Linked DNA regions of Lepisosteus oculatus. The main gene of each other region encodes a partner of the protein of the gene in region 4 in a complex. Links are inferred from orthologs where the notes say so. Each region holds a gene or a part of one and is shown on either strand. Other genes may lie near its edges.

Region 1 (7,709 bases), on a different chromosome or scaffold from region 4:
CTCAAGGATCTTGGGTTTTATTTCTGCCTCAAGTACCTGTCCATGCAGAGTTTGTTTTTTAGCATGTGTCTGTGTGTTGTTTCTCCAGGAGCTACTCTTAAAAATTGTTTCCCTGGACTTTAGCCGAATGAGGTAGGTGGCTGCCTCTTTCTCCCCTATACTCTGGTTGCAGGGGCAAGAACTATAAAGATAGATTGTAACTGAAAAACACAATTAGACCAAAAATACCCATAGACCTCAGTTCTGCTTGTATCTTTGAACATTAAATTTATACTGACATGGCCTTGTGTTTTCTGCTAAACTATGTTTCTAAAAATTGTGACTCTCTGCTCACAGGACATGAAGTTTGTTTATTTATTTGAAATAAAAATATAATTTCTTCTGAACTTGATCTTACTTATTATGAAAAACATATTGTGAATCTCTTTCGGAATTGCTCATCTTACAGTTCAGACTGTAGAAGATTGTACTTATTGTAAGTTATTGCAAGAGAATTCCTGTAACCAAGGAAACACTTTCATTCAACAACAATGCTGATGTTTACATTTACTTATACAAAATCCTTTTCATGAAAGATTAGAGGCTATTTCACTTCTAATGGAGTACCGTACCATTTTTTTTACCACCATAAACTCAAAACAGCACACAACATGAAACAGAAAGCACAATGTGGTCTGGCTTCTTAAAATCGATATTATTGAGAGGAAATCAACAAATTTCATATTATGAGGCAATTTTATGATTTGAAACCTTAAACTACCTTCAAAATACAATAAACAGGCACAAAACACAGTCACCTTAAACATAATGATCTTACCCTTGCTGAAGCTATGAAATAAAGATATTGTTTTCATTAATGCGGACAGGGTGTCAAATGAATAAAATTCACTTTATGGAAACCAAAGTGGTATTTTGAGATATTTTAAGTATACGGTAAATGAACACACAAACACATTATATTGATTCATTCCTGAGGTTGAGGAACTTTTAATACAGAATTCAAAATAAACCAATATTAAGAGATTAGGCTAGCAATTTGTGCACAGAAGTGGGTTGAAGGCATTTGCCGAAGTCATCCATCGCAATATCCACATGGGACACCTCCACCACACATGCACACAAAATGGAAAATGTTCTAATAATTATAGATCAGTTTATTTCATCGCTTTATTTGATTTACAAAATCCATTAGTATGGACTTTGCATGGTACCCAAAGGAGGGTTACGCATATCCAACAAGAGGACGGCGATAAGCACTGACGGAAAGGTGATGAGATACAATGGGGAAAGTTAATACACTGGCAAAGTTCCCGGGGAATATAAAAGATAATTACAGTGATGAATCTAGACTTCTCAGGGAACAAAAAACATAAACATCCTCTGTGAAATGCAGCTGCAGTATGTGCTGCAGTCATGTGCGCTTATAGTAACTGCCTCCAACAAGCAGGGGTCCAAAAACACAACACAGCTATCTTGCTTATTGTTCATACACTGGCAGACAATCGTCATTTACCACTGTCAGCAGACTGCAACACCCCAGACGATCATCAAAGAACTACTGAAGAGAAAAATCAGAGCTGATCTCACCACATCTCAACTCAACAAAGCTGAGCCTGATCAATACTTGGGTGAGGGGGTTCTGAGGAAAATCAGGTTGCTCCTGGAAGATAGTACTCAAGTACAGCAGTTGGGTCTGTAAAATGAGTTGTAATGCATGTGCCACTGCTGGAATTTAAAGCAAAGGTTTGACTTCTATGGCTGGATGTTCACATAATGCCATTTGATAAAGTAAGGGCCCTTGTTATCTTGAAGGAGCAGCATTGTCGCCTTCTAGGCAGATATATGAAGCTATGCAGTTTGAGCCTGTTCATAGGAAACCCCAAAGAAAACCAGACTGCTGTTGTAAGTGGAATTGGTGAAGGAATAGATCGCACTTTTCCCTCTGGGCCAGAATTTCCAAACCAATGTCCCCGTATGGGGACCTGTTACAACTGTGCTCTAGGATTTGCTGACATTCAGATACTTGAAATAGAAGTCCTGACAAAAACCAAAGATCCTATGACATTTTTAGAAAAGGTAGGAATGTTGTCTAAAGTAGACTTTGATCACGTACAGTCTGGCTTTCCTAAATTTTCCTCTAAACTGAATTGGTGAGGCTGTTTCTCAACTCAATCCCTGAACTGCTGTATAGTGGAGCTGCTGGCACATGATTGCTGCCTAGGTGGGCACTGTGCTACACAGGTAGAAGAAGTGGGTCTTCTCCTGTATGTAAAGTGCTTTGAGATTTATTGGGTTAAAAGCCCAAGTTTCAAAGAAGTTTCCAAGCCTTGACGAATTCTAGTTTAGGCTTTGATGGTATTGTAACTACTAAAGTAACGTCTTGCAATGTTCACCTTATTTTCTGTAAGGGGATCTGCTGGCTAAGAATAGTACCCATGTACTTCGGCAAAGAACGCTATGCTGTAATTTTTGAGGAGAACAGTTCTTTATTATGGCCTTGGTAAAGAGTAATATAATCCCATGAAACCCATTTGTGACATGATCCAACAAGCATTAAAGTAAGCATAGACAGTGCCTATGAAATTGCCCATCGATATCTGAAGATATGTTAGTTAAATTCAAGTCAGGACACAGACCAGATCACAGAGGGTAAACGATGACAAAATGCAATGACAGTTCACCTAAAAGAAGTAAGTCACACACTGCTGCCAGTCAGTTTGGGAAGTGACGCAGCACCAATTTGTTAATGGCACCACACAATTGGTCAAGACAGATGTGATATCATAATTTCAGATCAAGGTGGGTTAGTGTCTTCAAACATGCCCTTTTTCCACCACCTGTTCTCCAAATGGGGGCAAGTTACAGCCTGGATACCTGTAGAAGTTCACGTTTACAAGTGGAGCATACGGCCCGTGACTCACTTTGGCAGACAGCCATTTAAAGGAAAGGCTGACTAGACATGCTGATTTTTCTTCAAGATACAAATGCAAATCCACACTGAGGTAAAATGGTGCGATTCTCTTTATCTCTGAACAGGTCTAACATTAACTGCATTATTTTCTGATCTTAGAGTCTAACTCCAGTACACCTCTGGAAATTATTGAACACAAAAAGTTTTCACAGTGTTCTACAAAGAGAAACAACAAAACAGAATTAGCAACACTCACATATGTCAAAACGTCCAGAACTGTGGATTTCGCAGTTATCAGTGAAGGATTCTTCACTTACTGTTGTATTTTAGACAACACAACATTGTTTGCTAAAGGTACAATGACTGCTCCATTCTGTACACACTATGCATTGAGATTTATTTCTAATTTGTACTGTACAGAGCAATTATCATAAGGTCACAATGATATGTAAGAGTCAAAACGAGTCAAAAACTGATTCATTCCAATTCATTTCAAACAGACAACTTTAATTTTCTTCTGTTTTTGATGCATCTAAACGATGCATTATGTAGAACAGCCCACTCAATATTCCCTTGATCTATAGCAATTAATTTGAACATATATTACTGAGAAAGAATGTGTTGATTCAATAAACAAGGTCAGACTAAATATACTTGACACTATTAGGACGATGATGAACATGAATGATAATCGTTAGGGAGTTAGTATTTGCTACTACAGGTCATACACCTCCGCTCGGTCAGACGTCACACATTCAGAAATGAGTTACGTCATTATACTTCAAGACCACCAAAACGCCCACACCGCCCAAAAGCTACCACATACTTGCACCACCAAAATAAACACACGTCCCAGGGTACAATGTTTACGGCTGCTGGAGTAAGAAACACCATCCACCCACTGCAACACCTAGCGTGCTGCACTTTAAAAATGTGTAAATTATGGATCATTTTAGGACTACTGCATTTCGAGTTGATAATCCAGAAGAAATGCAGGTCGCTTATTCTTCCCAAAATATGAATTAGTTTGCATTTTATAGACATGGCATCGTGATGAACATCTAGCTGACAATGCATTCTCAAAGGACATTCTGTGTTGAGAAGCACATACTGTGCGAACAAAAATCTGAAGATAACTCCCCCACTAAGCATAACACTGATAACACTTATGATAGTTAATCATGTTTACTTTTGCAGTTTCAAAAGACCTGGCTTTATGTTCAGATCGGAGTCAGTGTACACAAGCAACCAATACACGTTTCATTAAAACTGAAATACACCTGATCAAAATTCGACCTGTATATCATTCGAACAGTGTAAACTAATCCAGACGCTGCATATTGACACATAATTCTTACCTTTATCAGTTTATCTTGGGCCTCCGTCCACCACACCATTTAATAACAGGAATACAAATAAATTCCTAGAGTGATCCCGCGAATTTAGCACCGAAACAAAACATACACGAGTTATTTTTTGAAACCCTTGCTGTCCTTTTCCTTCTAATTTGATTTCAGTCAGAGACTAGACTGACTTGCCTTTGTCTGTCTGACAGCAGCCATATTGACATCAACATCAGAAAGCAGAATGAGGTTCGTCGGGAACCGTAGTTTCTCACAAAGTATAAAACCGAGTCCCTCTCAATCTGAAGCGACAGGCTTCCACCGAGAACTACAATTCCCGTTAACGTCATGGACCTACTCCCAGCGGGACTACAAAGTAGCGGCCGACAGAAACACTCGTCACACGTCGCTCTGCGTTCTGTTCCCTTTTCACCCTTTGCTCTAGCTACCCGGCAGTGAAAATTAAAAAATAAACTACATCTCCCAGAGGAGGTGACCACAGGAAGTATGTTGAAGTGAACTATCAACTTTGACTCTTGAAATCCAAAAGATTTGGCGTGGGGATTGTAAATATATACTGTACATCTAGGTCATCTGACATAACAATTCAGGATGAAACTAGTGAGTATACAATTAAGTTATTTCATTTCTTGTTGCAAAGTCCAGGCTGCAATAAGCATGGGTCAGTTGAATGAGGGAACTTTAGAGAAACTGGAACGTTTTTTATGTTATTAGCAGGAAAAGGTGACTGAAGTTCGTTTGGACAATTCACGTTACATTTTACAAAAGCTGGACACGTGTTGAATAGAAATAATCTAATGTTTACCACTTTACTAATGTACAGTATATGCATTAAGGAAAAGACTAGTGCACGCAAAACCTGACGTATTAAGCTTAGTGTCCTGGTTTAATTCAGTTTTGGTTTATTTTAAATCTGGCCTTTCTGCAATTGTTTTAATTCAGATGACAAAGCAGTTTCGTACTTCTTCACATTATCTATTGTGTGTAATCAAATTGCTGCACTTTAATAGATGGAGTCGGTCCCTTTCATAAAGCGCTTCACGTCTGCAAGTAATTATTTTTATATAGCACAGTGTTGCTGAACGATGAAAATAAGTACAGTTCAACGTCATGATGTTTTGCAAGCAAATTTAGTATTTTACTGTTCTGTACTTTGTTTTGTACTTACAGGAAAAGATTTGTTCACCGCTTTAAAAAAATGTTCTTCTTTTACGTAATCAATTGTAAATGGTTCGATGTCTGTTCCAGTTTGTCTGATGGACTGTAATAAATCAACTTTATCATGTATGTCATCACTAACGTCGTGTGAATAAAGAAGGAAGAATATCCCAGTAGTTGGATTTAAATTTAAGAATTGAAGCTCATAAAAAAAAAACATTTTTCTGACATAGCTTATTGATAAATACTTTTAAATGCAATTGCCTCTCATGGTTTAAAAACATGATGTGTGTTATCCTGTATTTGTGTAGTACTGCTTGTCTGGTCATCCAACCTTGCCCTGCAATGTCCTCAAATTCAAATCTACAACCATCATGCTGGACTGTGGGCTTGACATGACATCAGCGCTGCACTTCCTGCCTTTGCCTCTAGTACATAGGTAAGACCATCAACAAAAAAAATAAAAATACAGTCTTCATAGTAAAATTCACACATGTTATTGGTGAAACGTTTTTCAAAGAACAGCATGGTGACACAGTATATAGCATGTTTGCCTCCCAGTGCAGGGGTCCTGGGTTTTAATTCCTGGCATGATCTCTGTGTGGAGTTTACATGATTTTTTGTGTTTGCGTGGATTTCCTGTGGGTGCTCCGGCTTCATCCCGTGGTCCAAAGACATGCTGGTAGGTTCACTGGCTTCTGTAACACTTGCCTTACTGGGAGTGTGTGCCCAGCAATGAGTTGGCATCCCATCCAGAGTGTAGCCTGCTTTGTGCTCAGTGCTTCCAGGGATAGGCTCTGGAAGGGCCACTGTGACCCTGAATTGGACGGGCAACTATTGAAAGTGATGATGTTGTGATGTTTTACAAAGGAATTTGGCATATTCTTCTTGTTCTATGTAATTTTAATTTCCCAGAAACATCCTCAAAATTGAGTGAGTGTTATCTTTTAAATATAAAGTTGACCTAGCATGTTCTCCCTTTTTCCTTTGTGAATTGTTTGTGGAGAATAAGTAAAGAGGGTTGGATTTCTTCAGGAAAGCCAAGATATTTTACAAAGCTGTTAGATTGAGAGGATAAAATGTGATCTGATGGTTGGCTGAAAAGCCCACTTCTCCTATGGCGATATTTATATAAATCAAACCACTCTAAACAAAGACCCTGAAGATTTGTTGGAGCGTGCGATCTAGTTGTTTTTTTTATTTGTAGACTTTACAATTCCTCGCAAACAACTGGACATCCAAATAGTGGAGAAAAAATAAAACAGTCAGCATTTGTAAAATAATTATAATGCTTATTTGGAAATCAACATTTTAAAAACCTGGAGCTTGAATGAACAAAGATTTGGTTAGAAGTATAGAAAAAAACAATCTAAAAGAAATGGCCAACATTCATTGTCAAAACTCATAGTTTTGTTAGTTTCAAGTAAAATGAGCTGTATCTAATTTTTGGTTTCACATAAAGACATTTGTTTGTTTAGTTAAGTAATGATAGATCTTGATTTTGTTCACAAATCTTGATGTTACTTTATTGTAATATAATACAAATCAAGTCTGTTTAATGGCAGTGACAATGAAAGTTATAAATACAAGACCTTTAAAAATTGTTTATGTTCCTTGTTAATGTTTAGAATTGTAATCACTACCACTCAATTGCACTAGTCATTAGCTGTAATTTGCACTCTAGTGCTGTATTTTAAATTTAATTACAGCTCAGGTTTGGAGTCACTCGATGGAAATATTGTAGTTATGTAATTCTTTTATTTATCAATAAACAAATCACATACATAATTGGTTTACAAAAAGAGGAGAGATTGGGTAGTTTGCATTAGGTAGAACATAATAATAATTTCTCTGACATTTTTTTTGTGATTTAATTAATGCATAACAAAATAGGGCAGCATTATTGTGCAGTGATTAGAATTTCTACCTCGCAGTGCTGGGGCGTTGGGTTTAGTTCCTTGGGTGCTATCTGCGTGGAGTTTGAATGTTCTCCCCGTGTTCACATGGGTTTTCCCTGGGTGCTCTAGTCCAAAGACATACTGATATGTTAATATTAGCCCTAGTGTGTGAGTGTGTATGTCCTGCCGTGGACTGGAGATCCATCCAGCATTTATCCCACCCTGTGCCTGTTGCTTGCCAGGGTAGGCTCTCACTCCAGTGACCCTAAATTGGATGAATTAGGGTGGACTATGCAAACATGAAAGCTTGATATTTTGTATTCTAACATTTTTATTAACTATTATTTTTAATGTATTACTCTTTAGCTGTGATTTATC
Region 2 (7,380 bases), on a different chromosome or scaffold from region 4:
ACACCTATCCCAAAAGGTACTATCCCAACTGAAGTAATTTTTTTTTGTATTCTATAACTGTGATGCGCAGAATGGTGAAATACCAGCTTCTATTCCCAAATACTGGTTAGAAAAATCTAAGAAAATTATAAAAAAACCATTAAAGTATGGCAGGCCAATTTTTATTTTTCAGTTTAGTTAATATTTATTAATATACTAAAACATACAAATGTGTAAAACTGTAATAAAAGACAAGATCGTCTTTGCTTTATTTAGATTACTTTATGTTCTATAGGTGATCAACCTAGGCTGTTCATACTGTATGCAATGAGACGTTACTCACCTACAAACCACACAAGCCAAACCCATCTCCATAGCAAAATCATCGGCACTCGTCTCGTCAAAGCTGGACAAATCAGGAATGGGGAGGTCCTTGCTAGTTTGAACTGTGATGGGAGACGATCTATTCTCCTGCTTCTCCAGGCGAGGTTTCTTTGGTGGGTCAATTGCATCAACGGGATCCACTTTAACCTGAAATGACAGAATACAGGTGAAACTGTGGCACGTGTATCATAGGAGCCCCCCAATTTTAATTAACACCCAGCAATAGCAAACTTCCTATTGGGTTTCTACTAAGTAGTAATTATTAAAATATTATTTTTCATATTACAGTATTTATACATGCGAACAATACTGATTTGGGTTTCCTATTGGGTTTCTACTAAGTAGTAATTATTAAAATATTCTTTTTCATATTACAGTATTTATATATGCAAACAATACTGATTTGGGTTAAATTTTTAAATACATTAAGTATAAGAACACAAGGACCTTTGTCCTAAGATGAGTGATGGTTAAAAACATTGTAACCATTAAAAAAGCCACAGAATGTTCAACAACATTGTGTAAATGTGAAACAGTCTACATAAGCTTTGCATGCTAATGATACAACTCATGTATTCCTGCTCAGTTTCACCTTAAGAATGAGATACCTAACCCAAGGTATCTGAAAAACTTCAGATAGTGGTTGTTTAGAAACTAGGACTGGCAAATGCTTGCCATCCTCATGAATGGGAATCTTCCTTTTTTTCCTCGTTTTCCTGACAGTTTACCTTCTCCGATGTTCTTTTCTCACTCTCTTTTTTGCTTTTTTCAGAGCTGCTTGACTTGCCATTGCCACTGCCTGAGGAAGAGGAGCTAGAGGAAGATTTTGTCTCCTGCTTGCTCAAGCTCACTTTCGTAACGGTCACCTTGGAGACCTCCACTTCCTGTTTGGGGAAAGAAAGATTTCACACCACAGGTAGGACACGCCAGTGAAGAACAACAACAAAAAAAATAGAACAGAACAAAATGAGTGAAACTCTTTAAAGACAAGTCTTTGATTACTTTTACTCTTGTAGGCTGAACTGTGTCCAGATTACAGGATTTCCTTTGTAAACAAGGTTCAAACACAAGGCAAAGCCCTTTTTTGTTACATTTTAAAATGTTATTTCTCAAAAAAAAAGCAAGGTCATGGCTCTGCAACAAACTAGTGCATCATGGCTCAAATGTAAGGCCTTACTCATAATTTTCTGCAAAGGGTTACCTTGAGCGTGGTCCGATAGTTTGAATCACTTCCCCTTGCCAAGGATTCATCTAGCAGTGCCTTCAGTTTCTCTGCTGAATCCTTGCTTTTGGAATGCAGGTATCCAAGGCCTTTCAGAAAGATTGGGTCCAGCTCCAGACTTACAGTGGCAGCCATGATCTCTGTCAGCTGTTATGGACATACAACATGAATCTGCAAGGGTCTTGATGCGAGAGTTGCCATCAGTGACAGAGCATACCTTAAGTGTGCAGTCTGAACGTGAAGGAAGGGCCAAAGGCTGATGCATTTCTTTGTCTGTTACTGTTTAACTGACAAAACATTATGCATCATTTAATCTCTTTTCTGGTTCAGAGAGTGGCCACATTTCCCTCAATCCTGTTCAGCTGCTGGAAAACATAAGAAAATGACTGCTTGCATTTAATATTAAATAGTTACTTACTAAATGGACACCTCCACCAAAAGCCTGCACTATATTGTCAGGGATGTATAGGTTTAGCTTTTTCTGCAGATATATTTTTATGACTTGAATCTCATTTTGTCCTATTTTCAGAAAATCAGAGGTCAAATGGAAATTTGTAAAAGTATCTGAATAGTCACTTTGTAGTGTAACAAACGATATTAATCTCTTGGTTCACAGCCATATGAAACATGCTGTTATGCTGTTACAGTCGCACCGAGTAAATTGCCAGTTGGATCGTCCAAATTTTATTAATGAAATGCCCTGTCGTTTATTTCAAAACCTAATACTATTACAGTTAAGTCATGATACTGATATTTTCTATATGAACAAAAATATTCATTGGTATTCCCTTTTATAAATATCTAACAGCCAGTGGTGGTAACGCTTTATATCATAAGGAAAAAAATAAGCATTTTTGATTAATTTATTCGTATGATTTATTCCCTTCAGAACTATTCTGAACGAACTATTTTGTCCAGAATCCGGAACCAGCCGTACAACTACTCCGCAGCACAGGATATACTATTGCTAAAGAAAAACACGTATTACACAATAACAAAATCTTTGAGATTAAATGCCTTTTTTTCCAAATATTACTTCACCTCTCTAGTTTTACACTTCATCACCACTGGTGTAAAAATCTCGGAATGGGAATATTGCTACTAGATTTCCTAATCTGTCATCTGGACGGAAGTACATACATACACCTTGCAACAAACTTATTTCAACTGTAATTTAAACACCTCTTGTTTTTAACGCATTTCCTTTCTTACCTTTGTTTTTCGAAAATAAAAAACAAAAATAAACTGATGCAAACTAACATCTGTTCAATTTATATACCTATACATATATATATAGCTCCGTATATTTACAATTTACGCCGTGAGCATGTCCCTTTCCGATATGATCTATAACCATCCTTCCCCTTTTTGTGTTCGGGGGAAACAAAACATAATATTTGTACCCTATCGGGGAAAAAAACTTTTTTGATCGTTCATAAAACAGTTAATCAGCATTTAAATCATATAATAAAAACAGTTAATTCATTTACGTGCCATTTTTTCCAACTACTTAACGACTATTTAATTTAAGATGACGTTTCCCAACCGTCGGTTAAGGGTGTGAGATGTTACACGGACACGTTTCTTGGTGACACAAGGAAGAAAAGGTTTGAAACAGCGTGACTGTGTGCAAAGAGAACTGTAGCTGCAGAGGCTTGCTGTGAGTAGAGTAAGCTGATTTCGTTTTTGACGCTTGCGAAAACAAACAAGAAAAGCGGTGAATTGAATGGGAGAGATTCAAACAGTAAAATAATAATAAACATCAACAACTTCTTTTAGGCGCAACATGTTTATAAAGCTAGACATGTGTACAAGATCTGTATAATAAAAACCCTACAGAAATACCTCTTGATATGTTTTTACTTTTAAGTTAAATGTTGTAAATGAAACGAAATGTCGTTGTCATTTTAACTATTTTAATTTAATTAAACGTCTGATTTGTTATAGTGTCTTAGGGTCCACTTGGGCTAGAGAGAGAATTTTAGTGCACTTGTCTTGAAAACTGCTTGTTCAGTTACATTTGATGTTGATCGCATTCGCATGAAGGGTGTTGAATCTTTTACTCCTCACCTTTAAAAAATGAAAAATTTGCAGTGAAGTTGAACTAATCTTAACGGTAGCATATTTTCATTGACACGCTGATTTTTCTCTTGGGCAGAACGTATGTGTGGGTCACAGCATGTCTTTCTCTTCTGGGGGCTCTGTAGATTCATCTGCTTTTTATTGCTGCTTCTCATTTGAGTTAAGCTTTTAATAGGAGTCAGATAATCTGGTTTTAGGTCATAGTAAATTTCTAATGTAAAGGCAAAACAACAGACCTGCATACGTTTGTCTGATTTTCTGTAAATCAGTCCTAATCATTAATCTCTGTAATATGGTCAGATTATGAATGCCCCTGCGATAAGTCCACTAACGTGCCCTTTTAAATTTTAGGTGTGTCGTTTCTGAGACCTGGGTGAAACAGTGTAATGACGTTTCCTGTAATGGTCATGACATCTGTTTTGCACTGGTCTGCAGTTGTGCTGATGTTGCAGTTGCTTAACAGAAAGGAGGTGGATTTCTAAAATGGTCTGCTTGATTCCAAACAGTAGATCACGAAGACACACAGAGTCACACAAGACGACTTTGGCTGTTATTTTTTGAATCCTTGTGTCCTGCAATTTGGCTTTCCTAAATTCTGTATTAATTCAACAGGGAAATCAATTTCTCACTTCTATGCCTGATCTGCTGTAGAGTGGCACTGCCACATATCCCAAAATAATAATTAATAATTGCTTACACTTATAAAGTGCTTTTCTGGACACTCCACTCAAAGTGCTTTACAGGTAATGGGGACTCCCCTCCACCACCACCAATGTGCAGCATCCACCTGGATGATGCGACGGCAGCCATAGTGCACCAGAACGCTCACCACACATCAGCTATTAGTGGGAAGGAGAACAAAGTAATGAAGCCAATTCAAAGAGGTGCACCTCTTCAGTTGTGGACTGTGGATCCCCTTCTATATATGAAGCACTTGGGAATCCTTTGTTTTGCAAAGTGCTACTGTATATAAAAGGAAAAACATTCGCTTACTATCACATTGCAATGACTTTTCCTATGCATAGTTTCAAAGATGTTACATATACACTTCTTGAATATTAAATGTTAAACCCTGTGTATGTAGAGTATGTATAGAAAATTATTGAGAATCACACTATCTCGTCATTGAGTCTTACAGATTGAGGCTGTACTCTAAAGGTTTAGCCCATATTTCTACTTTAATAAAGCTAAAAATATAAGTACATAAATGTACCTACAGACTTATTGTGCTGTTATGTGAACATTTAATATTCTTTTCTTTTTACAGAGTATATTGCTGTGCCTCCAATGCAATGAAACACACAAATTCAAAAAGGGGAGAAGAGTGTCTCTACCTGGACATTTCTGACCAGAGTGAAGAGGCCATTCTCCCTCTCCACACGTCCATAACGCTCTTTCTCCTGTCGTACTGTGACTCCAAGTTATTCCGTGTCTTCCTGGTTCCTTCTCGGCCTGACCCGGCGCAGTCATGGAGGCACCGAGTGCCGGGGGGCCTGGCCGCCAGCGTCGTCTCCGAACAGGACCTGCCCGCGCTGGTGAGAAGCTGTTGCCTTCCTGCGGTGCTGGAGGAGGAGGGCAGGTATTGCCGAGCAGGCCTGGCCGTAGTGCTGAGACATATCATTCAGAGGACTTGCGAGGAAGATCCCAGCCGCAAGGATGTAGCGGCCCTGCTGGGCTTCAAAAAGACCTGCCTCAAAGCCTGTGCCGAAGTAAGTCTGTTATCTCATTCTTTTGTTTTCCTTTTGCTTGTTTATTAATGCAGATATGCTAGACTGTATTGTTGACTATCTAATTACTGTAGGTGTATTGCTTGTGATGATAATTTTTTTTACTACTACATTTTTATTAACCATTCCAGCGAAGGTAGTTTCTCATATCACTTCAGCTTATTGTTCATCAATAAATAGGGGAAGAAAAACAGTCCTGATCTTAAGCAGTATGGTATTCACTCATTATACTTCACTGAATCATTTCTGCACGTTCGAAACGAAAAAGTCTTTTTTAACTGAGATGGGGAAAGTGCATTTTACACAACGGGTTTATGTTAAACAAAGATAACTTGCTGAACAAATAGCTCCTGAGAATGACAGTGAACACATATAAGTAGAACAAGTATACCCCATTCGACGCCCATCTCCCCAGAACAAACAAGCACTCAGGTTATATTTGTGAGGTTCACATGGACATGATCTGCTATTATTACCATACTTTTGTTTAGTGGTATGTGCTTTAGAGGGGCATTTGTAGTCTGTTCTGTTTTGTGTGTGACTTTCAGTAGTCATCATATTAAATCATATGATGGAAAATGCAGATAGTGTAATTTATTACATTGCAATGGAAATTGATTTAGTTTATAGGAACAAATGACAGGTCTGTTTTCTGCTACTTGTATGGTGTAGTTATGTTGCATCACCAGGATAAACCTTATATTACTTCTGTCATAGGTAGGGGAGGTCATCAGTGATTATGATAATAGTTTTAAAAGGGGACATGGGGCTGCTGTATCTCTGTCTTGAGGGAAATGTTAGTGAATTCTATTTACTGGAATAACTGTGTTGATTTCTGGCCTAGGTGAGTCAATGGACGCGGCTCTGTGAGCTCAACATCCCCTCAGCTGTGGAGGAATTTCTCAGGCAGCCTGCAGGCCCAGATCCAGAGATACCCGCCGCTATCTTGCGCCTGGAGAAGAAACTGGAAGAGCCCGTTAAGGTCCACAATGACGACAAGATCCGCCGGCAGAAACTGCAGCAGCAGAAGGAAGAGGCAGGCTCTGCCACCCAGCCTGCTTCATTCCGGGAGTCAGTGAACTCGGAAGAGCTGGAGCTGAGGGCTGCCTTGGCCAAGCTGTCTGTGGAGGATACACCTTTGTCAGCCACTAGGGGGCCCTCTAACATCAGGAGAGTCAAGACCACTGAGCTGCCCGCCCTAGAGCATGTGTTTGCAGAGGGGCTGTACTTCACCCTTACAGACCTTGTCCTGCTGCCTTGTTTGCACCACTTTCTGGTAAGGATGCAAATCAGTGAAATTGTGAATAACACAGGCCAGGTGCTATACTTAGTGAAAAAAAGTTGTTTTATTCACAACTTTTTGGAGTCTTTATTGTGGGTGAAAAAAGTACTTGTAGTTTTACATATGGGGGGGGGGGGCTCACCAATGCTATTAATTCAATAAAAATCTTTAATAAAATAATTAAATGTTAGTGGATGTATCTTTAGCTTACACATTAACTTGTATTCAGCTACATTTCAGAACTTACATTCAAATATAATTGTGGAAGTGAAAAAAAAAAGTAGGATTTTTCGAACCTCCCACAGAGTGTCAGGTTGGAACAAAACAGAAATTCAGAATACTCAATACTTTGGGGGAAAAAAAATGATAAAGCCTACAGTGTTTGTGCTGTTGCTGGTTAGTGAAACATGCTGTCAGCCAATATAACATGAACAAAAGCAATGCACACAAAATTCTCTTTCAGAAACAGAACTTTATTTGACCCTTTAGCCTTCTGTGCCCTGTTAATTCAGATGAAGGGAATTAATCATTAACTATGGTCAGTTTTAAAGTACAGTATCAGCCACCTTGCAGGTGTGGAATGCATGAGGTGCACGTTATTAATGTTAAGTCCACTAGAAGTGTTTTTGACTTGTTGGAGAATTGTACCATGTGCTTTAACCATTCACATCTTTAATGTTTTGTAATATTATATTATTATCAGG
Region 3 (7,745 bases), on a different chromosome or scaffold from region 4:
AGCAGCTAGCAAGGGTGTGATTAACAGATCTCACCCTGATGAATAGGAGTCAACACAAAATCACAATGATTTAAACACTGTTGGCACTTGCATTTTAAACCATGTATGGTCAATACATTAACTGTCCCTGACAAATCCGTTAACTCCTAGAAGTGATTCTGAATATCTGAATAAACGTCTCATGCAGCTCTACAAACAAAGTACCACCATCAATAGGCCTTTACCTTCGTTGAAGCTGTCGGGGACATTGGCCACTAGTACGCAGAGGAACCACTCTCCATTGCGAACGTGCAACAGCGCTTCTGCCACGTCTATGATGGGCAACAGCGATGGCAGCTCTGCACGAACATGGGAGGAAAACCACGCTGTCAGAAACAACACCCTAACATGGCGTGTTATTCAATTTTCATCTGTGTTTAGTGAAAATCAGCCCTGTGCTCGTGTAAAATTCCTATTCACTATTAAATTTCTTTCTAAATAAAAGTTATGAGAATAGAGCTGTAAGACAACAGTAATTCACACGTTTTTCCTCATTACAGTTCCTTTCTCAGTGTTTCACTCAGGACACAACAGAGTTGAATAAAATGCACAGGACAGCACTTATTCATCTTTCAGCGTATCAAACATAACATGATTATTAGTGTTCTGGAGTGAAGATCAGAAATTGAATCAAGTACTACCTGCTTGCAAAATACACAGAACATCCGCCACTTCTTCTAGATACACGGGGCTTTCGAAAAGCTCAGAAGACTTTAAGAAAAACTCTCCGTTTGAGTCTGAAACCTACAAGACAAAATCAAATCCCGAGCTGCAAAATGACAAAGGTACATCTGGGGACGTCTGCAGGCTTTCACAACTGCATGTGAACGGGCAAATATTACACTGCAGGAAAATGTAATCCTGTGTGTCTATCTGGAGGTAATATTCACCCTATTTGAGCTGCAACTTATGTTTAATTAGATATTTAAAAGGGTATTTTGTTGGAGATCCAGTTACGAAGAAAAGAAGAGGGTACGTTTATAGATCCTGCAGGGTTTGCTCCTGTGTACCAGCCAGGCCCGCGAGAGAGTCCAACGTCCTACCTTGTTCATTATAGCCAACAATTCGCTGAGTGCCAGCCTGAGTCTTCTAAGAGGATCGCTGTGCTCAAACTCCAGTGTCAGGCCGTGCTGAAGCTGGGATACCAAGATGCTGTCCCCGTTGGCACCACCAGGTTTGTGTCTGTCAGGGAATACACAAACACCAGGTGTCACCGCGCAGTCGGGGTGGGAAATGGGAGAAAAGCATCAGATCAAGACAATCTGGGTAGTCGTACACCGGCCTCTGAAAGGAGACAGCTCGTTCTCTAGCTTACTGTGTTTGCTGTGTGCAATATCAGGATGAATGGTGGCCACCAATGCCATTGGGGGGTGGGTGTAGGGCACCACCCCCATTACCTGAGCTGCTGCTCTTTCCTGGCGTCCTGCTCCAGAGCGTGGAAGTCGACCGACAGCAGCGCGACGATGGAGTTCACCGCTTCCACCCCGGACAGCAGGCGGAGGATGAGCTTCTTGTCCTGGGCCCAGGTGTGGCTCTGGTCGGCGGGGGCACACAGGGCCATCCGGACCAGGCAGGGCAGCAGCAGCCTCAGCTCGGGGTCGCTCAGGGCGGCCAGCCGCGCCACGTCCACCTTCTGCATGGCCTCGAAGGCGTAGGGGCTCACGAACTGCAGACCTGCGCAGTCCGACATCCTGGAGGGCTCCTTCGACCGTGAAAGGGAAAGAAGAGAGGAAAGAGGAAAAAGTGCTGGGTTGGGGAGAGAGAGAAACTCTTTTTTTATATAAAAAAAGACTTGCTTTTCATCACAGGGTCAGTTCAGTGCTGATCGATAACGCTAAATGTTATTTATTTTCTGCATGATTAAGGACGGTTTTCCTGGGGTTTTACAAAGGATTTCTAGTGTTGCAAAGTTGCTGCAGTTGTGATGAGAACCTCTTGGTCAGTCTATAGACGCTAAATGAGACATTTAAACCAGGTGTGGTTAAGGATAACCTGATGTTGATGCTAACCCGCTTTTACAGTATAGTACAATACAGTACGGTATTTTTTAAATAAAAGATATTCATCGATAACCGATAAAATTTGTCAACACTGTCCTGAGGTATAGTTTGGTTTAAAAAACACGATAAAACACAATTTTGTTAGAATACTGACAGAGGAAAAAAAATCGTTTACTGTAAAACTAGGACGTTTGAAGATCATCGTAAAGTTTCGGTGGTTGTAGTTACTCCGGACATTAATATAACGACGCAGAATTTAGAACCGGCAGTTTTAGGAGCTAAGCACACACTTTTCCATTTCTAACTATCCTTTCAATAGGATATGGATATAAATTTAATAAATTTCACTCTCTACATATTTTTGGAATAACTGTGTTTTCAGGAGTGTATCCTGCATATAGTTTTGCAACACTCGCTTCGACTCCTGCTGTACCCGAGTCACCATCGCACAGGTCCGAAAGAGCTAGTAGCTTTATTCCGATCATTTATCAAGCTCTCCGTGTTAATTAAAATTACAGAATTCCACATGTAAACGGTAAGAACCCCCACTCTCATTTGCTTCTTGTTTATTACGCTGCTCCTACGTGCATCTTACCTTACTTAAAATTAGTTTTTTTGTTGTTTCCACGAAGCGGTTGAGGCCTGCAAGCCAACGAGATCCTCGGACTGGCGTGAATCCCCCGTGCCGAGGTCCCGAGGTTTCATAGCCGCCTCATCTCGAAAAACGTTACTGGTTCCACTGTCTAGAAGAGGTACTTTATATCCATATATTTGATTTTTTTTTTTACCTGTCCGTTTTTGCTGTATTCCTTCTCTTCAGTAAGAGTTGTCTTTTTACCGGGTACACAAGAAAACACGCTTTTCATTCATTGGAAATTAACAGCTACTCCAGCACAGTGCTCAAGAGAAAGCGACGAGGGGGAGGCATCGCTGCGTTATTTGCGTTTGCCAGGGGGCGGAAAATACGAAGAAGTCGTAAAACGAGAAGTACAGCGAGCAACACTCTGAGAAGCCAGTACCAGACGTGTGACCCTTTAATTTGGATACTGGGGCTCGGAACAGTAGTGAGTGACAATTAAATGTCGCTATCAATTATGCTGTAAAAACGCAGAATAAAATATATCTGTATCGGTAAAACTCAGTAAAAACACTAGGGCTCAGTCACATAAGGCAATCTATTCTTAGAACCACGCAGCCTATTCATCACTATTTATAAACATCCAAACCTTTAGGAACCACCTGACCTAGCCGATGTGGAAAATAAACGATGTGTAAGCTATTGTACACGCCAAACAGGATGCTACAAATAAAATTGGTAGTAAAAAGTAAAATTGGAGCACAATGAATAAAAGAAGGAAAGAGACAACATCTTAATGTCCGTCTACTGGGTTGAGGTGGGAGGGAGAAGGAATGGTCACGGTGTTGGGTCGCCACTGTCTACCCCCAGTGAAACTAGCCCTGAGCCGTCTTGGGCTAAATGAAGTTAACGGCGATGGGACGAGATCTTCCCACCCAATTCAGGCCGTCCTGCTGTGGCGCCACAGCTGCTTTACCTATATACCCAGGTGTATCGGCGGAGCTGACACCACTCGCAAGGACGCTTGGCGTCTCAGCACGGAGAGGACAAAATGTGCTCTTCCTGTCTGAAATCGTTTTAGAAAATATGTATTTTTATGCAAGGGTGAGCAGACTCACAAGTGGTCTTGCTTCCCGAGTTCCAAGTTATTGATGGACCCCAGGTGCATTTTGCAATGACAATTAATAGCCCCTCTATTTACTTTCAGTCCCTCCAGTGCAGCAGCTGTTAGGAATGAAATTTGAAACCTATTACCAATTTTTTATTTGATATATCGCATCTCGTTTAAAGGGGGATGCAAGGGGGGTAATTTTAACCCTTGCAGTGATGCAAGACCTATGTCAATTACGTACTACAGTATCTAAAACAGTTTTCAAGTTTCATACAACTCTACAGCCATATTCACTGTGGATTTTGGCCAAGTTCACTTTCCACTCTCCAATGGTTTAAATGAATGCGTGTGATCACATTCACACATTAATCAGTGCATATTCAGTGGACTTTGAAGGGTGAAAATCATATTCCACAGAACACAATGTCCAAGAAGTTAGAATGAGACACTGAATAACTGATCCCAGAAAACAGGAGGTTTTCACATTAACAGAAGTCTTGCTTGGAAATGATGACAAGACAAAACAATGGAAACTTTATGAATAAATTATTTTATTTTTCATCCGAAATTGTTTAAAAAGTATGAACTTTTTTCTTGTCTTTTAAATTTCTAACCACAATTTGTACAATTCTCAGCTTCCAGGTCTCTCTGTAGCTTTAGTGTTTCTCCATAAACCCCCCTCAGACTACAATTTGATTGTGGTCATAAAAGCATAAAATTGTCTTTTAACAACATCTGGAAAAAATATATATATCCAAACTAGAATTTTAAGAAAGCACTCCTGATTAAAGCAAATTTAAGACATTTCACAACATTATGCAGATGGTAAACAAAATGACATCAGAAAGTAAAACAACAATAAAAGACTATGATAGGTCCAAGCAATTCAAACTGGACACTGCATTGCCTTACTCACCACAAAAGGTAAGATTTCATGTTCACATTTTGACACCTTATACTGTTCTGAATTCAATTTTCAGCCCTCAGTGGACAACAGATGCAAAAAGATGTCTAGTAGTTATGATAATTTTGCATCTTCAGTGATTCTGTAATGCAACACTTGATACATTTGCCATGATAGAATTTTAAAATAAAATGATAAAATGAGGCAATCGTGAAAACACTTGTCTGAATAAGTCCAAAGATGAGAAATGTACACTTTGACTGATGCATTAGCAATTTCTTGGACCTCCATAGAACCATCGTTCTACAAAGTACATTTGAACATTTGGACCCGGGAAGGAGAGCAAAGCTTCAGGTAGAGAAAAAGGGGTCCAGATTATAACAAAAATGTTTACAGATATGTGATTAACAGTTTTGTTTGCTTCTTTAATTAGGTAGCTGTTGGCGAGAAAAAACTCACATGAATGCCCAAGCAAGACTTAGCAGATGCTTCACCTTCAACACAAGCACCACTTGCAATTTGTAGATAAACATATGAAATGCATACAGAGCAATCAAGATAAGAGGGATCCAACTGTAGTACAATATTAGTCACTGATCTCCATGACAAAGAGTGTAGCTCTGCTAATTTTTTGCAATCTTGCCCTCCATCAATGTCTTTTCAATAAGCTTTTTCAGAATGGAGAAAAGGCTCACTGCTTTTTTTTATATATATACACACGAGTTGTATGGAAATCAGTTTAATACCAAGAGCTGTTCTTTGAAGACTAAAGTTTAAAACTTGGGTCATTCATTGGTACAAACAAAAAGTCAAGCCCACCCAGCATTCAAAATGTTTCCAGTTTGACCTCTTATTGACCCCCTTTTTACCATGAAAAACACAAAAATCAAACATGGCAATTTATGGACTGCAAGTTCCTATTCATGCTCCCTCAAAAAAAAAAAGTCAGTAATGTACACTACAGAACTACTTTACCACCTCAATGTTGCCTTTTTGTTTTTAGGAAATCATACATCCTGCACACCATGATTGAAAATAAAATACATTAAAATCCAATCACACAACATATAGCAGGAAAGTGTATTTCCCATTTATAATGAAGAATGTTGAATTTGGACAAGGCTATGCTGGTGGGTTCATAAAAGCAATAGTCAGGCTTTTATGGATTTCACACTGGGAAAAAAAAACATAAGGATTCAGAAATAACAGTAAAGCAAAAAAATAAAAAATTGATGGGGTCCTATTTTATGAAGTTTGCAAGCTCATACTATGCCTTTTTGAAGACTGAACTATAGATTTAATAAAAAACATGAAAACATAGGCTTTTAAACCAGACCAGACCTGTTAAAATGGTAATCACTTAAAATTTCCACAATGAGAACCTCTGACTAATAACTGCCCAACCAATAGCACCGGGAATCCTAAAGTGAAATCCATGCTTTATGCCAAATCATGATTCTGATGGTCGGTATGCAGATATTAACGCAGATCCGGACACCGTGATGATCCTAACGCGCATTTTGGAGAAACATTAACTGCTACAAAAAAATTAGTTGCCACTTTGCACAACTTTTATACAGTAGAAACAAATAAAATCTGCTGACATCATATTTATTTTATATATATATTTACACACAAATTAAAGTGGCCAACTCTTGACCTTATATCAATGCAAAATACCCTAGCTAATTAAGCCTGTATTGACAAGAGGACTCTACAACATGAATGGAAATTAACAGGGCACTACTCTCCAGGAATTGTTTCTTCTGTAGTAGTTTCCAACCACTAACTTTTTAATGCATGAGAGAATCAATGGGTTCATTAGAACCAGTATACAGGTTTATTTCAGAACAGGGGAAGACTAATAGAAGCTGAACAAAAAGCAGCTAATCTTCCTCTGTGCACACAAACACTGCATATGCCACAGGCTTTTAAAATAATAATTAAAAAGAAATCATTTACACCACACATTTACTTTCACAATGTAATAGAAGTTGGTATGCTATTAATGTGGTCATGGCAAATCAGAAAGGGGGTTATCTTCCGGGATCTGGGGGCTGGACAACCAGATTGTTTAGCTCAGTCCCGAGTGGAAGCCAAGTCCCAGAGCTGTGGGGGAGTGGGATTTTGGACGGTCTGTACCCAGACAGACACCTGCTCCACTCCCGCTGCCCCGCAATCCCATTGCCTGCCACTGGACTGCTTTCTTAAAAGTATCACCCGGGACACCGTACTGCAGTCTTTGAGCGCGGGAGTCAACTACAAGATGTATCCGAGCGTGTACTTTCAGCTGTCGCGGCAAAAACTCCATCCGATTTCCTTGCTAAATTTCACAAAGGCATCCCTCCCCCCCCCCAATAAACACAACCACAGGAGAATTGAGTTGACGCACTTTATTCCTAAAACAGAAGCTGCACCGCCCATAGAGGCACAGCGTTTATATATAATTATTTATATATATTGCCGTTCGGTTTTTGTGTCTAAATGTGTGGTATAAAATACTATATACGACAATGTACCTCTTTTATTTGAATAAACACAGTGAACTTCATTGCTGTACAAGTACTCTGCAGCTACAGCTTAGCTGTAAGTCCCCCCCACACAAAGGCATGGACATTAACCCCCAACCTACTTCATCTGTACATCATGACAATACAAATTTCTGTCCCCCTTACAAAAAATAATACTCTAAAAGCAACCTACTGCAACTTTATTTTTTATGTGTTTTTGTTGTTTTTTAATTAAGACGATTACATATATTTTAGACCAATTGCTTTAAAGCAAGAAGGCAATATAAACCTTCTAGGATTTTTTTAATATATAAAAGAGGTTAAGAAATAAGACAAATTATACATTTAAAAACTTACAATAAATAAGATAGATGCAGGCATTTTCATTTGGATACAATACCATCCAAAGACAGGAATTTCAGGTCTTTACTAAGAAATGAATTAGTTTGTTTCATTTAAGAACATCCCTTTTCTTCCAGTACTTTAGACAGATAAGTGTAACGTGAACAGGCTATCTCCGATGTTACCATAACAAATACCATTTCTGCAGGGAGAGTTGTTCCAGTAATTACTTTGTAATAGATATCCCCATGATCTGCAAGTC
Region 4 (6,951 bases):
GCGTCTTGAGGACGGAGGAGGACTCTGCGCGGTACAACGACGCCATCAACAGCCTGGATGCCGATAAAGAATCGGTGGTGAGGTTCGGCCCTTGGAAAGCATCGCCTACCGCCATGGACCTGCTGGACTGTGTCAAAATGGACATCGAGGCCAAAGGCTACAAGATCAGTTACCAGCAGCACGTTGCGGACAAGGGATTCCGTTTCAAAAGCTACGACTTCTTCTACAAATTCATATTCACTTGGTGGTAGTGCCAGCTAACGGTACACTCAATATTAGCCTCTTGATGAATTCTTGGCACCTGAGTTGCTTTTGCAGATCACCTTGTTGGTCTGGCCTTCGACATTTTCTGTTCAGGTTAAGCCTGGATAGTGGCTGAAATTTAACTTGCCCCTGGACGTCCAGATCAGCATTTTAGCAGAAAAGGAAAAAGCAAAAACAAGACTGAGTAACAAGGAGAAATTTGTCAACTCATATTTTTGCATTTCTTTATTGGTTCATCATGTGATGTTACCAAAAAATCAATTTGCTTAGTCCATGGATTTCAACATTTGGATGATTGACAGCTTACTTTTCCCTCTTCTTTGACTTATCTCCTACTCCGAGTTCTGGACAACCTCTTCTTTTTGCAGGGAGTTGTTTTAAAGAAGTAGTTTCTATAGAAGGGAACAAATGACTTTTTTTCTATTGACTGTGATTGTTATCTATATGATTGTTGTAGAGCTATATTATGTTAATGTTCTATGTTTAATCAGTGACAAATTATTAATTGTGAAATGAGTGTATATAAACATAAAGACTAGATATTTTTTTACAAGATTCTTTTCTTTGTCCTTTGAATAAAATCAACAGAAACTCTTAGTCAGTTGCCACTTGTCTTTATCTGGTAAGTTGTAATGGTCATTTTTTTTTTTTTAATGGAGTACAATAAATGTGTTCAGAAAGAGTACGAAAATCGATCTGTTGCCTTGAACAGAAAATGACCCGGGTAGCTTAGCGCCTGTACAGAATGCATTTGCATTTTAATACAAACCAGGATGTCATAAATTGGGTCAATTTTGACACCCCCCATTGGTGAAGAGTCTATATCCGTGCCTCTGATAGATGTCACAACCACTCACCGCTCAAGATGACATGACTTAAGGGAATTGCTCTCTTGTACTATACATCTCTGGCCGCTTGGCAGAAAAAAAGACTAATGTGACCACCATAGCCCAACCTGCCACTGAACCAACTTCATCACTTCAAGCCATTGCCAGACTGAGAGAGACTACGTCAGCAGCCATATCACCCTGCAACTCACTAAGGTTGCTGCTGGAAGAGGTGTTAGTGGGGCCAGCAGGGGGCGCTCACCCTGCGGTCCATGTGGGTCCTAATGCCCCAGTATAGTGACGGGGACACTATACTGTAAACAGGCGCCGTCCTTCGGATGAGACATAAAACCGAGGTCCTGACTCCCTGTGGTCATTAAAAATCCCAGGGTGTTTCTCAAAAAGAATAGGGTTGTAACCCCGGCGTCCTGGCCAAATTTCCCATTGGCCCTTACCAATCATGGTAATAATCCTCCTAATAATCCCCCTCTATGAATTGACTACATTACTCTGCTCTCCTCCCCACTGATAGCTGATGTGTGGTGAGCGTTCTGGCGCACTATGGCTGCCGTCGCATCATCCAGGTGGATGCTGCACATTGGTGGTGGTGGTGGAGGGGATCCCCATTACCTGTACAGCGCTTTGAGTGGAGTGTCCAGAACAGCGCTATATAAGTGTAAGCAATTATTATAATTATTATTACATGTAAAACTGTTTCGACCCACAACAAGTGAGGTTTTGGATGAGATCCCAGTTGTAAATTTCACCTTATCAGCTGAGCTTTTGTCTACTCCGCTGAATATTCAGAGCTACAACCATGAGTGAGCAGACTTCCAACTTTGTCCCCATCTATGTCTCGACTTTTGTCTGAGCCATGTTTTGAGAGTCCCTGGAAATTCCTGGAAAGTCAACTGCAGAGTCCAGTGAAGGATGGAATCTTTTCCTTTTCCTGCGGCGACAGGATAACCTTGGGACTGAGCATTTTGTTTCAAAATCTCATTGTGATAAGCACATGGCTTGCATCTAATTTGAAGGACTGTAGATTCCATATAGATTCCATGTTCACATTGTAACACTTGAGAATTAACCTATTATTCCAAACTAGTATGCTTAAGGAAGATTAATTCACAACAGTAATTATTTACTTTTCTTTTGAAAGTATGGATGCTGCTTATGAGTTTGACTACTGAGTTATATGATTTTTACCTTTGTTGCTGTTCTCTTTTGTATTGTCTGAATGCTTGATCAGACTTTTGTATGAGTCTTGGTAAATTAATTCTCATATATAGTGATTTTTGTACTGGATTATTTTGTACATTTTATTGTATTAATAAAACAATTGTGTATTATATTCTTTCAATTCTGACACCATTAGTTGTGATTGATTCCTAGTTGACATTAAGTACTGTCTGACTTCTTTTTCAGTTTCTTATTATTTCAGTAAATTCAAACCATGGTCACCACACAGTAGAATACATTTGTTCATGCACTTTATGCTGTACCATACGGTGAAAATGTCTTATCTACTCATGGCCTACTTGGAAGTTTTTGCCATCTGTGTTGTGCAAAACAAGACTCAAAAAGATCCCCACTTTTCCAGCAGAGGAGGTTTATCATGAATAAATAAAAGCATGTCAATACTGAACAAATGTGACACGTGTCAACATACAGTTTCCTAAATCCCAAATCAATGTCAAATCCTAATTGAAAGATGTAAGGTCTATTGTTTTTATGTATAATAATTAAAATGTTACTTTTATACCAAAGTATGTCATAACACTGTGTCCTCTTTATTTAACCAGGAAAGGAAGTCAGACATGTCACCCAGTAGCACCACCATAAAAATATATACACAGGTTACAGGGTTGTTGGTTCCCCTTACCCATAGCTATTCAATATTTAAGATTTTTTAGTCCTTTTTACATTTACACAATATTACATGTCATTTTAAGATTTTGTTTATTGCATTACTTTGTGTACATCTGTACTGCTTTAAGATGTATTTATAAGTAATTACATTTTCAGAGATTTTACAGTTAATATTTTAAGCATTTTTTGGTGCCATTTCCTTATATAGTAAAAAGGAATAGGCATGTGTCATGGAAATATACCTATCAAGGAAGCCACAATAGAGAGTTCTCACCTGAGTAAGGTCTTTATTTCAGTACTGCAATATTGGGAGCCCTGCTGTCACTCTGCAGAGTGCATCAGAGACTCAACTTGCTACAAGCAGCACAGGCTTTTTATAAAGATGTTATGCAGTGAAAAATACAGCACTTAGTCCCCATCTAATACTTCCCCTTTTACTTAGGACAAGAAGGATTACAACACAGAAACGAAAGAAGAAGCGCCAATACATATTTTGCAAAGTTTAGCAATTGCACTCTGCTCATTTGGTAATCTAGACAGTACATCCTGTCCTGACAAACCTGTCTGCTGACAACATGCACGCAGATTTCCATTTCACATGAAAGACAAAAAAAGTGATGATTTGATTGTAAACTTGAAATCTGTTGGAAAATAGGGGCTCCCTTATACATGTTCGCAAAAAATTCTTGAAAGACCAAAATCACTGCAATCCACAACTGTTGTATCCTTTAAGTATTTTTATCTATAAAACTGCCTGTTAGACCACTGGACAGGAACAACTACCCTATGTTATATCATTGTTGTGCTGCGAAAACTGATCTTCACACATGTCGTTTCGAATTGTTACACCTTTTATAGTAGCATAATCTAATATACGTTTGAAAAAAAACCTGATTTTATTTTAAAAGACAACATATGTTCGGCCTTTTTTTCCCCTGTGATTGCACTTAAATCAAGCATACAGTAAGCCTTATTGAACTACACTACGGCGACAAAAGTAGGACAGTCTTGTTTGACGCTCGATGGTACAGCAAAACGCGTTTGATTACAGTTTGACCACGATATCTTGTCTTTAAACAATGGCAGCGCATTTAAAGAAACGAGTTTATGAAGAATTCTCAAAAGTTGTCCAGGTAAGCAGATCTAACAGACTATTAAAGAAAAACAAATGTGTCTAGAACGTCATATTTAAATAGTTTGTAGTACTCTGCGAGCAAACACGGCTGCGTGCAAAAATGCTCAATGCGATCATAAGGCTTCACAGACGGTTAGAAGTTACAGGAAAATGTCCCGAAAGCCTTCGGCCTGTACCGATGAAGCAAATTCCTGTGGATTAAAATAGGCTTATGTTCCTTGTATATCCACGATTTTATCACCGAGTTATTTAAAACTCATCATTTATTTAACATCCGTATTTTTTTCATTGTTTTGCCATTCAATTATATACGATTAAACTTGCACGTACCAATTCAAAGTAATAATAAAAGTTGAAGTTGGCATTGTGCACGCTTTTTAAATTGTTGATTTTAAATGTAATTTTTTAAAGTAACCACCACAGTTTATATTTCTGTCTCTAAACAAAGAAAAGAGATCGTCAAAACATCTTATTTTACCAGAATGCGTTAACTTTGTTTTAAACTTTAGAATGGATATTGTGGCGTCAGTGTCGTGTTTGAATGTATTAGCTAATGTCCATACACCCCCTTATTTTTATTCATATTCATTGAAGAGATTTTGACCTGCTTTATAGTTATGCAGCAGTGTTCTACAGCCGTGCGACGTTAAGTCTTAAAGCAATTGCAAAAAAAAATCTTCAGCTATTCTGTTTGCAGAATTAAATAATAAAAATCGGGGTTTGAAAGTCTTTTTTCAACAAATGGGGCTGCCATAAACAAATGACGGATAAAATCAATGGTTTCAGCAACACCAGCAGGAAGAGATCCCAGCTAAGAAGTTAAGGTTGACCAAACCCAGCAAGTCGGCTGCCCTCCATATTGACCTGTGCAAGGCCAGCAGCCCCACCGAAGCGCTGCAGTACCTCCTTCAGTTCGCCCGCCAGCCCGTGGAGGCCGAAAGCGTGGAGGGGGTGGTACGCATCCTCCTGGAATATTACTACAAGGTATTGTCAAAACAGGGAAGACCCTGGGCTCACGCATGCCTCTGTATCCTTCGATTAGGACTGATTGTTTTGCAGTAGGCATTTCATCCACACTATCCCCCGGACTGTACGAGAGACAAATTCTTTGACTCTCTTCAATTCCAAAAACTCAAAACTCACCTTTTTACCACAGCTTGTGCCTGATTGCCCTACGTTCTGTCTGTATAAACATGTATGCTCTTGTTTATTTTTTTTTCTTTTACCATTTATTATACTTTTTTTGTCTTTTTCTTTATCACTCTGCACAGCATCCTTGGCTTTTGGAGAGGTGCTTTTTAAACATTAATAATCGTTTCTTATTATTTTTAGTAGTATTTGACTGCAGTAATTATTGATCAGGAATAGAACAGGTAATGCATGAGGGTTTAAATAGACTGTTCTTAAATCAATAGATTCTTGTGATCAGCAGGAATGATTAACTGGAGGAACAGAGCACGATCCCTTTTTGTTAAGGAATAATACAAACCAATACTATCAAGTGTTCAAAAGTGTTCTTTTTGCCGTTCAATTTTCAGTCGGTAACTGAGAGTTTGCCTTTTGCTCTGAAGGAAACGGACAGCTCAGTACGACTGAAGATTGCCTCTCTTCTTGGGTTGCTGTCCAGAACTCAAGGCTTTTCTCCAGACTGCATAGTGGATGATGCCATTAATACTCTGAACAATGAAAGTGAGTCATGTAATGTTTTTCAAAGGATCATTTCTATGCCGGGCTGGACACTTTACTGAGGTTGTGGAACATGTTTCTGAAGTGCTTGTTCATATTTAGACTTTACTTGCTTTTAACTATGACATTTTGTGTTATTGAATGCAGAATCACACCAGGTTCTTGCACAATTGCTGGACACACTTCTGGTCATTGGTTCACAGCTTCCAGAGAGCCAGAGTCTCAGACTTAGATTAGTTGAAGTGGCCTGCAAGGTAAGAAGTGAGCCAGTATTATTTGCTTTTGTTCCTGCATGACAGTATGCTTTTAATGATATAAACATTTAGAATTATATTATAATTTTAACTGTGATTTTGAGAGGTCCCTTAGTGTTTATTGTGGAGTTTTTACATAAACAGTGAATTGATTTGAGTGCAAATGTGCAGCACAACACCTTGAATAAAGGCTAAATATTGTATTATATTACTCATTATCTGAGGAGTGGTTACACCACTGGGACCCTAAGTTCGGTTCTGGACCTGGAATGCTAAACTCTTATATGGAGTTTGTAAGTTCTTTCCACGTTCGCGTTAGTTTCCTCCCTAAGTCCGAAAACATATCGATTTGTTAATTGGCTTCTGAGAAAATGGTCTCTGGTGTGTGTGTCTGCCCTGCAATGGACTGGCATCCCATCCAGGGTGTACCCTGCCATATGCCTGTTGCTGTCTGGGATAGTCTTCTACTCCCCTGCAACCCTGAATTGGAAGAAGCTGTTGAAAATGGTTGAATTAATCACTACAGGCGTCTGCTATAACTCGATAGATGCGTTCCTGTAAAACCTTGCGTTATGCAAGATCGCTCAATAAAAATAACAGGGCTTATGGGGAAAAATAGGGTTGGGGCAGACCACTCAAAACCGAACCAACTGCCTTACCAAATTTAATAATTATCCTAATAAAAATGTTAGCACAGTTTAAATATGTTAAATTCATAATAAAGAAAGAAAGAAATGCTCATATTTAGGGCAACGCAGAAGATTTAGTGAAAACAGCACAAAAATTGAGGAGCACCTCCAAGTTAGCACTTCCAAAACAAAGCATGTGGGACAACTGACCACCGCGTTCAGTTGTGTTACTCCGCGACGCAAAACATAAGCATGTCGGGGATGAAATGGCGTATCAGCCAATGCCA

Evidence for each region.
Region 1: the proteins of ints4 (region 4) and ints9 are in contact, whole or in part, in a cryo-EM structure (PDB 8RC4), measured with the Homo sapiens proteins. The link is inferred for Lepisosteus oculatus from reciprocal best matches to the Homo sapiens genes INTS4 and INTS9. Residues at the interface, in NP_291025.3 of Homo sapiens: Leu53, Gln54, Leu57, Gln58, Arg61, Lys62, Pro86, Ser87, Leu90, Lys91, Ser94, Gln125, Gln129, Asp132, His164, Gln207, Asp208, Pro209, Arg210, Arg212, Asp244, Tyr245, Glu246, Gln247, Trp296, Phe837, Gly840, Leu841, Val842, Val843; in NP_060720.2 of Homo sapiens: Lys2, Tyr4, Lys18, Ser21, Thr22, Leu43, Val44, Gln45, Glu87, Glu89, Leu90, Asp92, Asp97, Thr122, Glu145, Arg146, Val147, Pro148, Lys159, Glu174, Ser176, Thr177, Ser192, Gln195, Phe206, Gly207, Ile379, His380, Ser384, Asn385.
Region 2: ints4 (region 4) and ints12 share a complex: the UniProt entries of both Homo sapiens proteins name them as parts of the integrator complex. The link is inferred for Lepisosteus oculatus from reciprocal best matches to the Homo sapiens genes INTS4 and INTS12.
Region 3: ints4 (region 4) and ints2 share a complex: the UniProt entries of both Homo sapiens proteins name them as parts of the integrator complex. The link is inferred for Lepisosteus oculatus from reciprocal best matches to the Homo sapiens genes INTS4 and INTS2.

The regions. Positions count from the first base shown.
Region 1 is NC_090697.1:60,385,635-60,393,343, forward strand, and holds the start of ints9 (integrator complex subunit 9), read left to right. Parts: upstream 1-4,695; 5' UTR 4,696-4,866; coding exon 4,867-4,875; intron 4,876-5,744; coding exon 5,745-5,872; intron 5,873-7,709. UniProt on the Homo sapiens protein: Component of the integrator complex, a multiprotein complex that terminates RNA polymerase II (Pol II) transcription in the promoter-proximal region of genes.
Region 2 is NC_090696.1:65,283,779-65,291,158, forward strand, and holds the start of ints12 (integrator complex subunit 12), read right to left. Parts: upstream 3,021-7,380; 5' UTR 2,798-3,020; intron 1,951-2,797; exon of another isoform or gene 1,948-1,950; 5' UTR 1,721-1,947; coding exon 1,565-1,720; intron 1,248-1,564; coding exon 1,092-1,247; intron 511-1,091; coding exon 323-510; intron 1-322. Other genes in the region: gstcd (glutathione S-transferase C-terminal domain-containing protein), read left to right, coding at 4,960-5,376, 6,239-6,670. UniProt on the Homo sapiens protein: Component of the integrator complex, a multiprotein complex that terminates RNA polymerase II (Pol II) transcription in the promoter-proximal region of genes.
Region 3 is NC_090721.1:4,667,021-4,674,765, forward strand, and holds the start of ints2 (integrator complex subunit 2), read right to left. Parts: upstream 3,001-7,745; 5' UTR 2,906-3,000; coding exon 2,828-2,905; exon of another isoform or gene 2,635-2,827; intron 1,786-2,634; exon of another isoform or gene 1,742-1,785; coding exon 1,437-1,741; intron 1,222-1,436; coding exon 1,083-1,221; intron 784-1,082; coding exon 681-783; intron 339-680; coding exon 225-338; intron 1-224. UniProt on the Homo sapiens protein: Component of the integrator complex, a multiprotein complex that terminates RNA polymerase II (Pol II) transcription in the promoter-proximal region of genes.
Region 4 is NC_090700.1:9,867,365-9,874,315, forward strand, and holds the start of ints4 (integrator complex subunit 4), read left to right. Parts: upstream 1-3,941; 5' UTR 3,942-4,039; coding exon 4,040-4,093; intron 4,094-4,881; coding exon 4,882-5,079; intron 5,080-5,666; coding exon 5,667-5,784; intron 5,785-5,928; coding exon 5,929-6,035; intron 6,036-6,951. Other genes in the region: BTB/POZ domain-containing protein KCTD14, read left to right, coding at 1-251. UniProt on the Homo sapiens protein: Component of the integrator complex, a multiprotein complex that terminates RNA polymerase II (Pol II) transcription in the promoter-proximal region of genes.